Drosophila melanogaster: one gene and its partner. The protein of the gene in region 1 interacts with the protein of each later gene in a pairwise test. Each region holds a gene or a part of one and is shown in the gene's direction. Other genes may lie near its edges.

What was found.
Region 2: the proteins of Parg (region 1) and Tmx3 interact in a two-hybrid assay, tested with the Drosophila melanogaster proteins (one large-scale study listed by BioGRID).

The regions. Positions count from the first base shown.
Region 1 is NC_004354.4:3,667,781-3,673,931, reverse strand, and holds Parg (Poly(ADP-ribose) glycohydrolase), read left to right. Parts: upstream 1-2,429; 5' UTR 2,430-2,564; coding exon 2,565-3,277; intron 3,278-3,344; coding exon 3,345-4,803; 3' UTR 4,804-5,095; downstream 5,096-6,151. Other genes in the region: Ilp7 (Insulin-like peptide 7), read right to left, coding at 5,228-5,397, 5,520-5,692, 5,752-5,888.
Region 2 is NT_037436.4:16,226,422-16,231,955, forward strand, and holds Tmx3 (Thioredoxin-related transmembrane protein 3), read left to right. Parts: upstream 1-2,678; 5' UTR 2,679-2,879; coding exon 2,880-2,919; intron 2,920-2,983; coding exon 2,984-3,222; intron 3,223-3,279; coding exon 3,280-3,903; intron 3,904-3,960; coding exon 3,961-4,350; 3' UTR 4,351-4,718; downstream 4,719-5,534. Other genes in the region: l(3)72Dn (lethal (3) 72Dn), read right to left, coding at 157-1,999, 2,070-2,206; PDCD-5 (programmed cell death 5), read right to left, coding at 4,772-4,995, 5,053-5,167, 5,419-5,481.

The DNA.
Region 1 (6,151 bases):
TGAACAGCACTGCATTGCACAATTGCAATAAAAACTTAAAAACAGTTGTAGGATTTTTTGACAATTATTTCTGGCTTTATAAGTTAGCTAGGAGTGCTTGGATGCAGTGGAGGATAGATACATATATACATTCATATATAGTTGCACATAGCCAGTGCAGCCTGTAACTGCAAGGTTTTCTCCACTCTATCTTCCTCCTCTCGTTCATCATTTTGCACTTTGTTTTGCCAACGTGAGCCAAGTCGCGTTGACAAAACCCAAGAAAAAAGTCGAAACACAAACAAGCAAACGCAATTGTATTTATCATTTCAGTTTTGTTTTTTATTGCATACAACTGAAGCCTCCCCCAATCAAAAGCAAGTCAATGCGAATAAATATACTTATAGATTAAGGCGTTTAACAAAATAAATAACTTCTAGATCCATTTGCAGATGTTTTTATTCGATCTTTTAAGCCCAAACATTTCAAACAATTCGGGATCACATGATATAATTCGACTTTCGCACATAAATATGTGTACAGTGATCACTCGTAAAAAGAACTCATTGATGTTATTCTATACATACATATATTATTATATTTTATGCTTATTCCATACTTTATTCTTCATACAATACAATCTGCCTACCATATAATTTATGGTAACATTGCTTTAATTATGTGTGAAGTGCATCAGAATTCGGATACAAAAATGAATTATTTCTTTAAAATCTGTATATTAATTAATAAAGAACAGAAATTTCCACAAATATGTAAATTGAATTTTCAAATTGGTTTGGTTCCCTCGTTTTGTTTAATTTCTGAAACTGACTCATGGAAGTGCAGTCTTCTGCTTCTTTCAGCTGTTGATTAGTATAAGTTCATGCTTTTGAGGTGACCTTGAAAAGTTTACTAACATCGCGTTTTCGTCGCTCGCTTTTTCCAAGCGATTATTCGGCTCTATGCATTTTTGTTGTTGCTTGTTTTTTTTGCCAACCCCCGAAACGCCACCCCCGATTATTCCTAGTATTTTCGCTGACGCAAATGAGAAAAGAGAAAGCTCTACATGTACAGTGCAGACTCCCATTGCGTTAAAGTTCATCAACGAAATCTAAATGCTCGGGATTTACACCTTTTTCTGAAAATTTATTTAGTAAAATAAATTTCACTTAATATCTGGTCTCTTTCTCTCTCTATCTCTTTATGTGAAAATCGATCGTTTAACTTATTGAGAGTTGACAGTACTTTTTTCGAGTATTTCTAGGTTATGGTCAAGGCGAAATCTAAGCAAATTTGAAGGCTACGCTCAGGTACGAAGAGCGATGAAGAGAAACGCCTCTTCTTTGTAGAATTCTACTGATAATTCGATTTTTGTTTTTGTGTTTTTTTTTTTTGCTTCTCCTTGCAAAGCTTTTTCGTTTGTTTACGCAAAAAGGAGAGAAAGAGATGGTGCAAACAAATTTCGCGGAGAGATAAAGGTGTGTTGAACTTTAGCAAAAGTACATTTCATAAATTATATTTATTTTGGTTTTTAGCTAGCTGTGAATTTGCTTTTGCGTTTTCCTCAGATGCAAGTGTGTGTGCAAATTATGTATGACCTTTTTTGTATTGTTTTTGCGACGCTTTCAAAACAAACAACTGCGCTCTCTCTCTCTCCCTCTCTCGCTCTCTTGTGTCCATTCTCAGAGTCTTTGCACGTGTATGCAGCGGTTTCTCTTCCTCTTTTCAACACGTAAGCTTGAGCAAAATACCACAATCACATAAATATATACATAGGTGCGAGTGACAGTGCCACATTAAGGGTTAAAAACTGAAAAAATTTGATTTGACCACTGACGTCAACGAAATAACATTTTCTTGCCAAACGTGATTATAAAAACATAAAACAGCAATTACTTTCCGCCGCTTCTTACCTTTTTGAGTATTAAATACATTTATAAAAGTTTCGCAGACGCCTTTAACTTGATTTTCCTTGGTAATATGCACTATTATTTTTACCGCACGAAGGACAGGAAAAAATCCTTTCACTTAACGTAAAACTTGGCGCTCGTTATGATAGTTTTACACTTTAAAAAAAAATTAGAGAAAATAGTTGACAAATTGCTGGAAGATTTGTTTTTTTTTTCTTTTTGTTTGTTGTTGTTCCTTCGGCGGTTATATTTGCAATTCGCATTGCAACGGACACAGTGTTGGTATTTCTCGTGCTGGTATTTAAATACTAGCGACAATGAGAGGTAAAATACCACATGTAATGGTCACACTTTCGCCCGCCGAATTCAAGGCAATGCAATTTTGAATTTGTTATTGATTCATTCTCAAACGAATACCAACATATATTTGAATATATTTCGATATATAAACGCTTCAATTCACTACGCTTCAATCGAAGTGTGTGGTATTTATAAAGTGCGATATTCATCACAGCTATCGCTCATCCCCAAAACACCGGTATGCAAGAATTCAGGTCACACTTGATTTTTCCGATATTCCAAAAGGTTTACCAATCTACGGCAAATCGCCGCAGAGCAAGTGCATCCGTGCTGACCAATCGACTCGGCAAGGCTTTGTGCTTAAACTGCGCCAGGATGTCGAAGTCGCCGGATGGCGGGATTTCCGAAATAGAAACGGAGGAGGAGCCGGAAAATCTGGCGAACTCCCTAGATGATTCGTGGCGTGGAGTTTCCATGGAGGCTATACATCGTAATCGGCAGCCTTTCGAATTGGAGAATTTGCCACCAGTGACTGCCGGCAATCTCCACCGGGTTATGTACCAGCTGCCAATTCGTGAAACACCGCCACGCCCCTACAAATCACCGGGAAAGTGGGACTCCGAGCATGTGCGTCTGCCCTGTGCGCCCGAGTCGAAATATCCGAGGGAGAATCCGGATGGCAGCACCACCATCGATTTTCGCTGGGAAATGATCGAACGAGCCCTTCTGCAGCCCATAAAGACGTGTGAGGAACTGCAGGCGGCGATAATATCATATAATACCACCTATAGGGATCAGTGGCACTTTCGTGCCCTTCATCAACTTCTCGACGAGGAACTGGACGAGAGCGAAACACGGGTTTTCTTCGAGGATCTATTGCCGCGCATTATCCGATTGGCATTGCGGCTACCGGACTTGATTCAATCGCCAGTTCCGCTGCTCAAGCACCACAAGAACGCCTCATTGAGCCTGAGCCAACAGCAGATCTCCTGCCTGTTGGCCAATGCCTTCCTGTGCACCTTTCCCCGGAGAAACACCCTCAAGAGGAAGTCCGAGTACAGCACTTTTCCAGACATCAACTTTAACAGGTGAGCGTCCACCAGATTCGTATATCTTCAGTCGAAGTATGTTAAATATATTCGATTCCATCAAAAGGCTTTACCAATCGACGGGACCGGCAGTTCTGGAGAAGCTTAAATGCATTATGCACTATTTTCGTCGCGTGTGTCCCACAGAGCGGGATGCCAGCAATGTGCCCACCGGTGTGGTAACCTTTGTTCGTCGGAGCGGATTGCCGGAACATCTGATCGACTGGAGCCAAAGTGCGGCGCCGTTGGGTGATGTGCCATTGCACGTGGATGCCGAGGGAACAATCGAGGATGAGGGCATTGGACTGCTGCAAGTAGACTTTGCCAACAAATATTTGGGTGGCGGTGTCTTGGGACATGGCTGCGTTCAGGAGGAGATACGCTTTGTTATCTGTCCGGAGCTATTGGTGGGTAAACTCTTTACGGAGTGTCTGCGACCATTCGAGGCCCTGGTGATGTTGGGCGCCGAAAGGTATAGTAACTATACGGGATATGCCGGAAGCTTCGAGTGGTCCGGCAACTTTGAGGATTCAACGCCAAGAGATAGCTCAGGTCGTCGACAAACGGCCATTGTGGCAATCGATGCCCTACATTTTGCCCAGTCACATCATCAATATCGCGAGGATCTCATGGAAAGGGAGCTGAACAAGGCGTACATTGGATTTGTTCACTGGATGGTGACGCCGCCACCGGGTGTGGCAACTGGTAACTGGGGTTGCGGCGCATTCGGCGGTGACTCCTATCTGAAAGCCCTGCTGCAACTTATGGTCTGCGCCCAGTTGGGCAGACCTTTGGCCTACTATACCTTTGGAAATGTGGAGTTTAGGGATGATTTTCATGAAATGTGGCTGTTGTTTCGAAATGACGGGACTACGGTGCAGCAGCTTTGGAGTATTTTAAGGTCGTACAGTAGGCTTATTAAGGAGAAGAGCTCCAAGGAGCCGCGTGAGAATAAGGCATCCAAAAAGAAGCTATATGATTTTATTAAAGAGGAACTTAAGAAGGTCAGAGATGTGCCCGGAGAGGGAGCATCCGCCGAAGCTGGAAGCTCTAGAGTAGCTGGATTAGGCGAAGGAAAATCAGAAACATCAGCGAAATCCTCGCCAGAACTCAACAAGCAACCCGCCCGACCGCAAATCACCATAACGCAACAAAGTACCGATCTATTGCCCGCGCAATTATCGCAAGATAACTCAAATTCTTCGGAAGATCAGGCCCTTCTTATGCTGTCGGACGATGAGGAGGCCAATGCCATGATGGAGGCCGCTAGTCTGGAGGCTAAAAGCAGCGTAGAAATAAGCAACAGCAGCACAACGTCCAAAACGAGCAGTACAGCCACGAAATCAATGGGTTCAGGTGGCCGCCAGTTGAGCCTGCTCGAGATGCTGGACACCCATTATGAAAAGGGTTCGGCCTCGAAGAGGCCACGAAAATCACCCAACTGCAGCAAGGCTGAGGGTTCAGCAAAGAGTCGTAAGGAGATCGATGTGACCGACAAGGACGAAAAGGACGATATTGTTGACTAGGTGATATTGCACTACAGGATTGTTACTGCCCCCAAAATTGAAGAGGTATAAAATGTATTGTAGATAACTTTAAGGACATATTTAGGGCATTTTAAAGTAGGATCATTGTAAGTCGAATAAAGTGAAATTTTTTTTTTTTTTTTAATTATACTATTCTAATCTGCAAAGACAATTTTACTGTTAAATTTGTATAACATTGATTGATTAATATAATTTGTTATATCATGCAAATCTAGCTTTTATTATGCGAAATTTGTAGTTAAAGCCAGTAAAGTTTCTTTTTATTTAACCGAAACCTTTTGTTTATTTTATTTGACCACAACAAGAACATCAACAACAACAACCACGAAAAAAAAAGCGAATATATATTTGTTTGTTCGTATATATATATATATATCTAAGCAGATCCAACGTCGATGGCCAATCAGTAGTGATTGCGTCGCTTGTTGGATGGACAATACTCGGCGTATTCCTCCCAGGTGCAGCCCGCCTTGGTGCAGCATTCGTTCGATATCGATGGAGTGTTTCCATCCGATCGACGACTTCGCAGAAACATGTTGGCATAGTTCACGTGCAGCCAGGTGGAGCCATCAGCTGGAAAGACAGCAGGTGGTATCATATCGATATCAATGGATCTATAGCATAGATGTACATGTGTACATCGCTTGAAATTCCAATCGTCTTTGGTTGGAATGGATTTCGATTCAACAACTTACGTTCCGTGGTTGTCTTCTTGATCCAAGCCTCATCATTGCCCGTCCTCTTTTTGTTGCGCCGTGTCAGTCGGTAAATGTCCTTCTCGCAGGCCCAATATAGCTGGCGGACCAGCTTGTCACGGCAGCGGGAGTGCGTCTCCTGGTGCCACACGTTCTCCCAGTCCGATTGGGAACTAAAAGATGGAGACATAGACATCGGAACGGTTCGATGTCAATGGAGTTGACAACTCACCGCTCGCGGAAAAGCATCTCGAGACCCTCCTCGGTGTGCTGCAGTGCCTCCGGCGTGGGTATCAGCGGCAGGACGAACAGGAGTACAGCTCCGCAAAGTGTCCAGCTGCCCGAGTTTTGTATTATCATTCTGGTCATATTGGTTAGTTCTTGTGCTCGAATTGTGCTCGAAGGCTATCGAAGGAATGCTGATCCTGATGCGGCTCACACGGCGGATGCGTGCCGACTGAGCGCTCTGGTCGGTGTGTTGTCAGGTTTTGAAATATAACCGAACCCGGTCTCCACCTGAGTGGCGGCCAACTGTCGGGCGTCGGCGGTATAATTAAATCGTTTGGTCAGCGCTCTATTTGAAGTAATGAGGCCCAGGACCGGGTCAGGACCTCTTTCACAACCGGCCAATC
Region 2 (5,534 bases), on another chromosome or scaffold:
GTGGCAGCTATAGAAAGGACGGAAAACGTTAAAGTGGGTAGTCGGTAAGCCTAAAAGGAGATTTTAATCCTCTCATTCTTATTTCATGGATGAATTAAGATTACCTTGTGAGCCAAAGTGTTACAAAATGAAAGTCTTGTGCGTAAACAGACCTACCAATCTTACCTGTCGTGACAGAGTCGTCTTGAGGCTCAGGCCTTTTGAGCCGCCATCAACTGAAGAGCGGTTTCCATTTGATAACTTTTTAGACTTGCTGTTGCTCACAAGCTCTTTGGGATCCAGATGCTGATCCCTCTCCAACACATACAAATTGCCCTCGGTGTGAACAATAAATATATTACGATTTTGTGGATCCAGGCTGATTCCATTGATGCAATGGCGCCTGGTCTCGGGTATCAGGTACTCATTAGTTTCACAGGTGAATATCCGATTGACCAAATCGTACTCCACCAGCTGGCCATTGGCGTAGGCGACCACCACGCGTGGGTAATCCTCGTGCATGGATAGGGCGGTGGTACCTGCTCGGTGTCTTGGTAGGTTCAGCAGGTGCTTGTATTGTTTTCCATGTAGTTTCCAAACTGATATTATGTGGTCTGAGCTCGCAGCCACAATGTATTCGCCATGCGAAGAGATAACCACGTGGCTAATCGTATTCTTACACTTCTCACTCAAATCGATGGTATATTTGAATGTAACCAGATCTTCCTCTAAAGTAAACCAACTTAGATGATTGTTCTGCGGGTTGAGCAGCACTAGATCTCCCTGCTTTGTGAAAATTATATGACTGGCTGGTTGAAGTTCCTCGGGAAGATCGTCTACCAGACGCTCCACCTGCAGGGGATCACTTTTCAAACGACTGATTCGGAGTTCCTTTAAGGTAGAGTAGCAAATCCAGTTTGCATCTGATGAAATGGCAGCAGACTGTATAAAGTTGTGCTCTTTGACATTTAGTTGGAGAAGTTTCTGGGGTGGCAGCTCCAGAAGTTGTTCCTCCGTGTGGCCGACGGGCAGTGCCCAGGGTTTCTTCTTGTCCTCGCCTTGCGGGGCCACAGAACCCAAGCGCCACAGGTGCACGCTGTTGGGATATCGCAAAAGCAAAAGCTTTTTACTGATTGCCATGGAAGCTACGGAACCTTTCAGAAAGGGAGCATGCTGCGACAAATGTGCCTGCATTCGTTCACTGGACGTAATGGTCAATATGCCATCCCTGCCTCCCGAATAAATTTGATCGTCGATAACCAACAGGGATTTCACATAGTGTTTGTGGGCATCGCGCTGTAGGAATTTAATCCAACGCTCGCTGGTGGACTCTTCCCGCTTTATCTTGGTTTTGCTGAAAATCCGGATGAGCGGCGGCTGCATTCCACTGCAAACTAATCGATCCTCCTTATTATTCACAGCCAGGGCAAATACGTTTTTATCCAGAACTCGTGTGGAATCTATCTGTGTCGCGTTATCCGCATCCCAAACGGTAACAAATCCCGCTGAATCACCGGCAATAATCGTATTATCGGATAGCACCTGCAGGGACCAAACTATTACGTTCTTTTCGGATAGGGTCATCGTGTGCAGAGTGGTTCCCTTGAGGACGTTCCAAATGCGAACAAATCCCTCAGTGCCGGTCACCAGTTTAGTTCCAGTCTTATCAAACTTGATGCAGAGAACGCGACCTTTTTGCTTGTTAAATAGGGATTTATAGGTGATTTCGTCATTCTCAATACTCAGGATGTTGATGTGCCCTTCCTCTGAGCCAATGGCAATATCCGTTTCCGCGGGATTCACATCGATACTCCAGAGAGCATTGCCAGTGGGCGAGTGCTCATATCGTTGTTTTAGCTTAATCACATCCCACTCGATCAGTTTACCACTTAAATCCACGGAAAATAAGCGGTTTCCCGCCCAGGCTATAGATTCCACATGAGAATCGGTGGGCAGGTGGATTACACGATCCAAATACGGGGCGTGCTCCAGGTTCCATAGCTCAATGACGGGTGTTGCACTGCAAAGAGTGTACTTATTAGTTTACTGCACAGTAATTATTAGGTTTTTTTTAATTTTCAATAATTTACCGACTCAGAGCGAGGCACTTGCTCGATTTACTATACGCCAAGCTGACAATTTCACGCGGCTTTATAGTGTAGAAGCGCACATTATGCACCTGATGCTTGCCCCTTTGCTGGGGTTCCTTCTTCGCATTATTCGTCATTTTATTTAGTTAATACAATTATTTAGTTAAGAAGAAATAAGGAACAACAACTGAAACAAAATTCCTCTGGAGATGCACGTGTGTGCCTAAGAGTTGCCAGATAGTCTATTTTGTGAGGTAAACAAAGCTGAAGAGTTGCCATCTGACTAAAAATATACCAGATTAACCCTTAGGCAGCCGCTCTATGGCCGCTCAAAAACTTATTTTCAAAATTAAAAATTCTTTTATAAATGTAATTATTAACTATGTCATTATTAAAGATAAATTCTTAGAGATGCATATAAAAAAATTTAATTAGTTTTTATTTCGAATTCATTTTAGTTTTAAGGTTATAGTAGAATGAAAATCTTGAGTTCAATAATCTTTTAAAAACATAATCCAAACAACTACAAAATTAATAAATAAACTTGTTCAATTTACGCATTGGACTAAAGAGTATCTCCTTAAGTATTTTGGATATTTTCCACATCTGGTCAGTCTAAAGGGGGTGGTTTTTGCAAATGTTTTCTTTTGTTGTTGCTGTGGTCCGAAGGAAAATAATTTGGAACTGAAAATTAAACCAATCAACTAATTAAATTAAGTAAAGAAGCTATTAAAATAACGGAAAGCATGATATAGCAAATAAGGGGCACGTAAATTACACTTGGAAGTACAAATTAAACCTGCTGCAAGGATGTCGCCAAATTCTATGTGGATTTTCGGCCTCATAAGTGGTAAATAAATTACGAACAATAGAAAAAATCCAAGCTGATGCTAAATGATTTACAAAACCAACAGCTCTGCTTCTGACTCTGGGTTCGACGGGGCTATCCTCGAAGGTTTTGGAGCTCAGTGACCGGTTCATCGATGTGCGACACGAGGGCCAATGGTTGGTCATGTTCTATGCCCCGTGGTGCGGCTACTGCAAGAAAACGGAGCCCATTTTTGCTCTGGTGGCTCAGGCTTTGCATGCCACCAACGTTCGAGTGGGTCGCCTAGATTGTACCAAGTATCCGGCGGCGGCGAAGGAGTTCAAGGTGAGAATATACCATATTTGGTCCAAGTTCCTTATAAGCATCCCCAAATTCTTACAGGTTCGTGGCTATCCCACCATTATGTTCATCAAGGGCAACATGGAGTTCACCTACAACGGAGACCGCGGTCGCGATGAGCTGGTGGATTATGCCTTAAGGATGTCTGGGCCTCCAGTTCAGCTGGTCACGCGAACGGAGAGTGTGGACATGCTAAAGGGATCCCATACGATATTTTTCATTTTCGTAGGCCAACAGGAGGGCGTGGTGTGGGATACATACTATGCTGCAGCTGAAGGTTACCAAGAGCATGGATTTTTCTATGCCACCAGCGAGGATATCGCTGCCCAACACTTTGACTTTGAGAAACTGCCAGCGGTGATTGTCTACAAAGAAGAGCAGCACCACTTCTATCCGCATGGGCATTTGGCGCACGAAATGGACCCCAATGAAGTGAACGAAACCGTTTTCCAATGGGTGAACGTGGAGAGGTTCACACTCTTCCCAAAGGTCACTCGGTTCAACATCCACCAGCTGCTCAAGACAAACAAGTACTTGGTTTTGGCTGTGGTACAGGAGGATAAGCTCAATCAGATAGCCACGCATGAGCTGGAGTTTCGGGACATGGTGGAGGGCGTGATAAGAAAGCATAGGGCGCGATATCATGACAAATTCCAATTTGGATGGGTAAGTGATTCTATCATAGTTTTATCGATTTGGAGCTAATCAATATTTCCATTTCAGATTGGCGAGCCATCAATAGCACATTCCATTATCTTGGATCAACTGCCCACGCCTCACTTGATAGCGATTAATTCGAGCACCCAACACCACTTCATACCCGAAGATGATCCAATGCAAATGACTCCACAGGCACTGCACCTTTTCCTAGAATCCATCCGCAACGAAAGTGCCATTGCCTATGGAGGAGATACGTACTTTGTACGTTTGAATCGGGCACTGTTCGAAGTGCGAAGAGCATTAAGGGATATGTGGCTGGGAAATCCCGTGCTGACCACTGTCATCTTCGGCCTGCCATTGGGATTCTTATCGCTCATCATGTACTCTATTTTCTGCGGCGATTGCTTGGTCACAGAAGAAGATCCCGATGAAGATCACGAGAAGAAGGAGTAAAGGGATAACTTAAAAATGAATCTAGTGAAAGCTTTTGATTGCGAGTGAATGTTAGAGAAAGTAAATAAGATGATCTCATAGTGCATTTCCGAGCAAGATCATAAAAAGCTAGGAACATACAAGAATATGAAATGATAAATCCCTATAAGAAGTCGTAGAAGACCCCACCCCTCCTCTAGACCACTTTTCTACCGCATATAAATGTAAGCCAAATCTAGTCCTATGTCAGTGTATGTCATTGCCGCTTGGCACGAACTTCCAATACGCTTTAAGATTCGCCATCTGACACAAAGAAGTCCATACGTATTTGGGCATCTAGTTTTGTTTCTCGTTTTAAGTTAGTAAAAGTAATAAACATGATTTAGCGGATGTGAGGAGCGGGCATAACTTAAATTAGATGTTGGGCGGAATTTCGGACGAATCAGCAGCCGTAATCCTCGTCGTCGTCGCTATCGATGGCCGCCCGCCGCCGATCGTATTTCACGGAGGACTTGCTCTGCGGCATCTGAGCATTGACGCTTTCGAGGATGCTGACGAACTGGGCGTCATCAAGTTTTCCACGCACCTGACCCATCTGGGCCATGCGGATGACCATGTTCTCGAACATTTGCGCCTTCTCCGGCTTGCTGACTTTGAGGGTATTAACTAAATGATATTTTATAAGTTATTAGCTAGAGATATTCAAGGTCTAGATCCACATACGTCGTGCCCTGGCCTGCTGGTCCAGAACTTGGGATAATATCGAGTGCTTCATTTCCTCCTGGGCGCGCATCTGCTCCTGCTGGGCTTGTTGCTTTTCCGCATCATTGCCGCCGCCCTAAAAATAGGAAAAAAGGAGTTAAGGTCATTGAAGGATTGCCCTTTAAAGAAACAGGTGTCCCAGTCGAGAAGGATGACTCATAGGGAAGGTGTCTATAAGAACTAACAAAGCATACCATTGCTAATGTATTCTTAACATTTTTATTATATTTTATATAGTCTAATTTGCTTTCATTCCAAGTTATGACTATTTTTGGAATTCTCTAGAGGAATCTAGCCGGTTTGGAGCCACTCAAATATTTCACTTACGAATTGCGACTGCATTTGGGACATGCGCTGCGCGCGTAAGGCATCCAAATCACTATCCGACATTCTGGGTTCTTATTCTCAGTATATTTATGGCAGTAAATTAAGTAATTATTGCT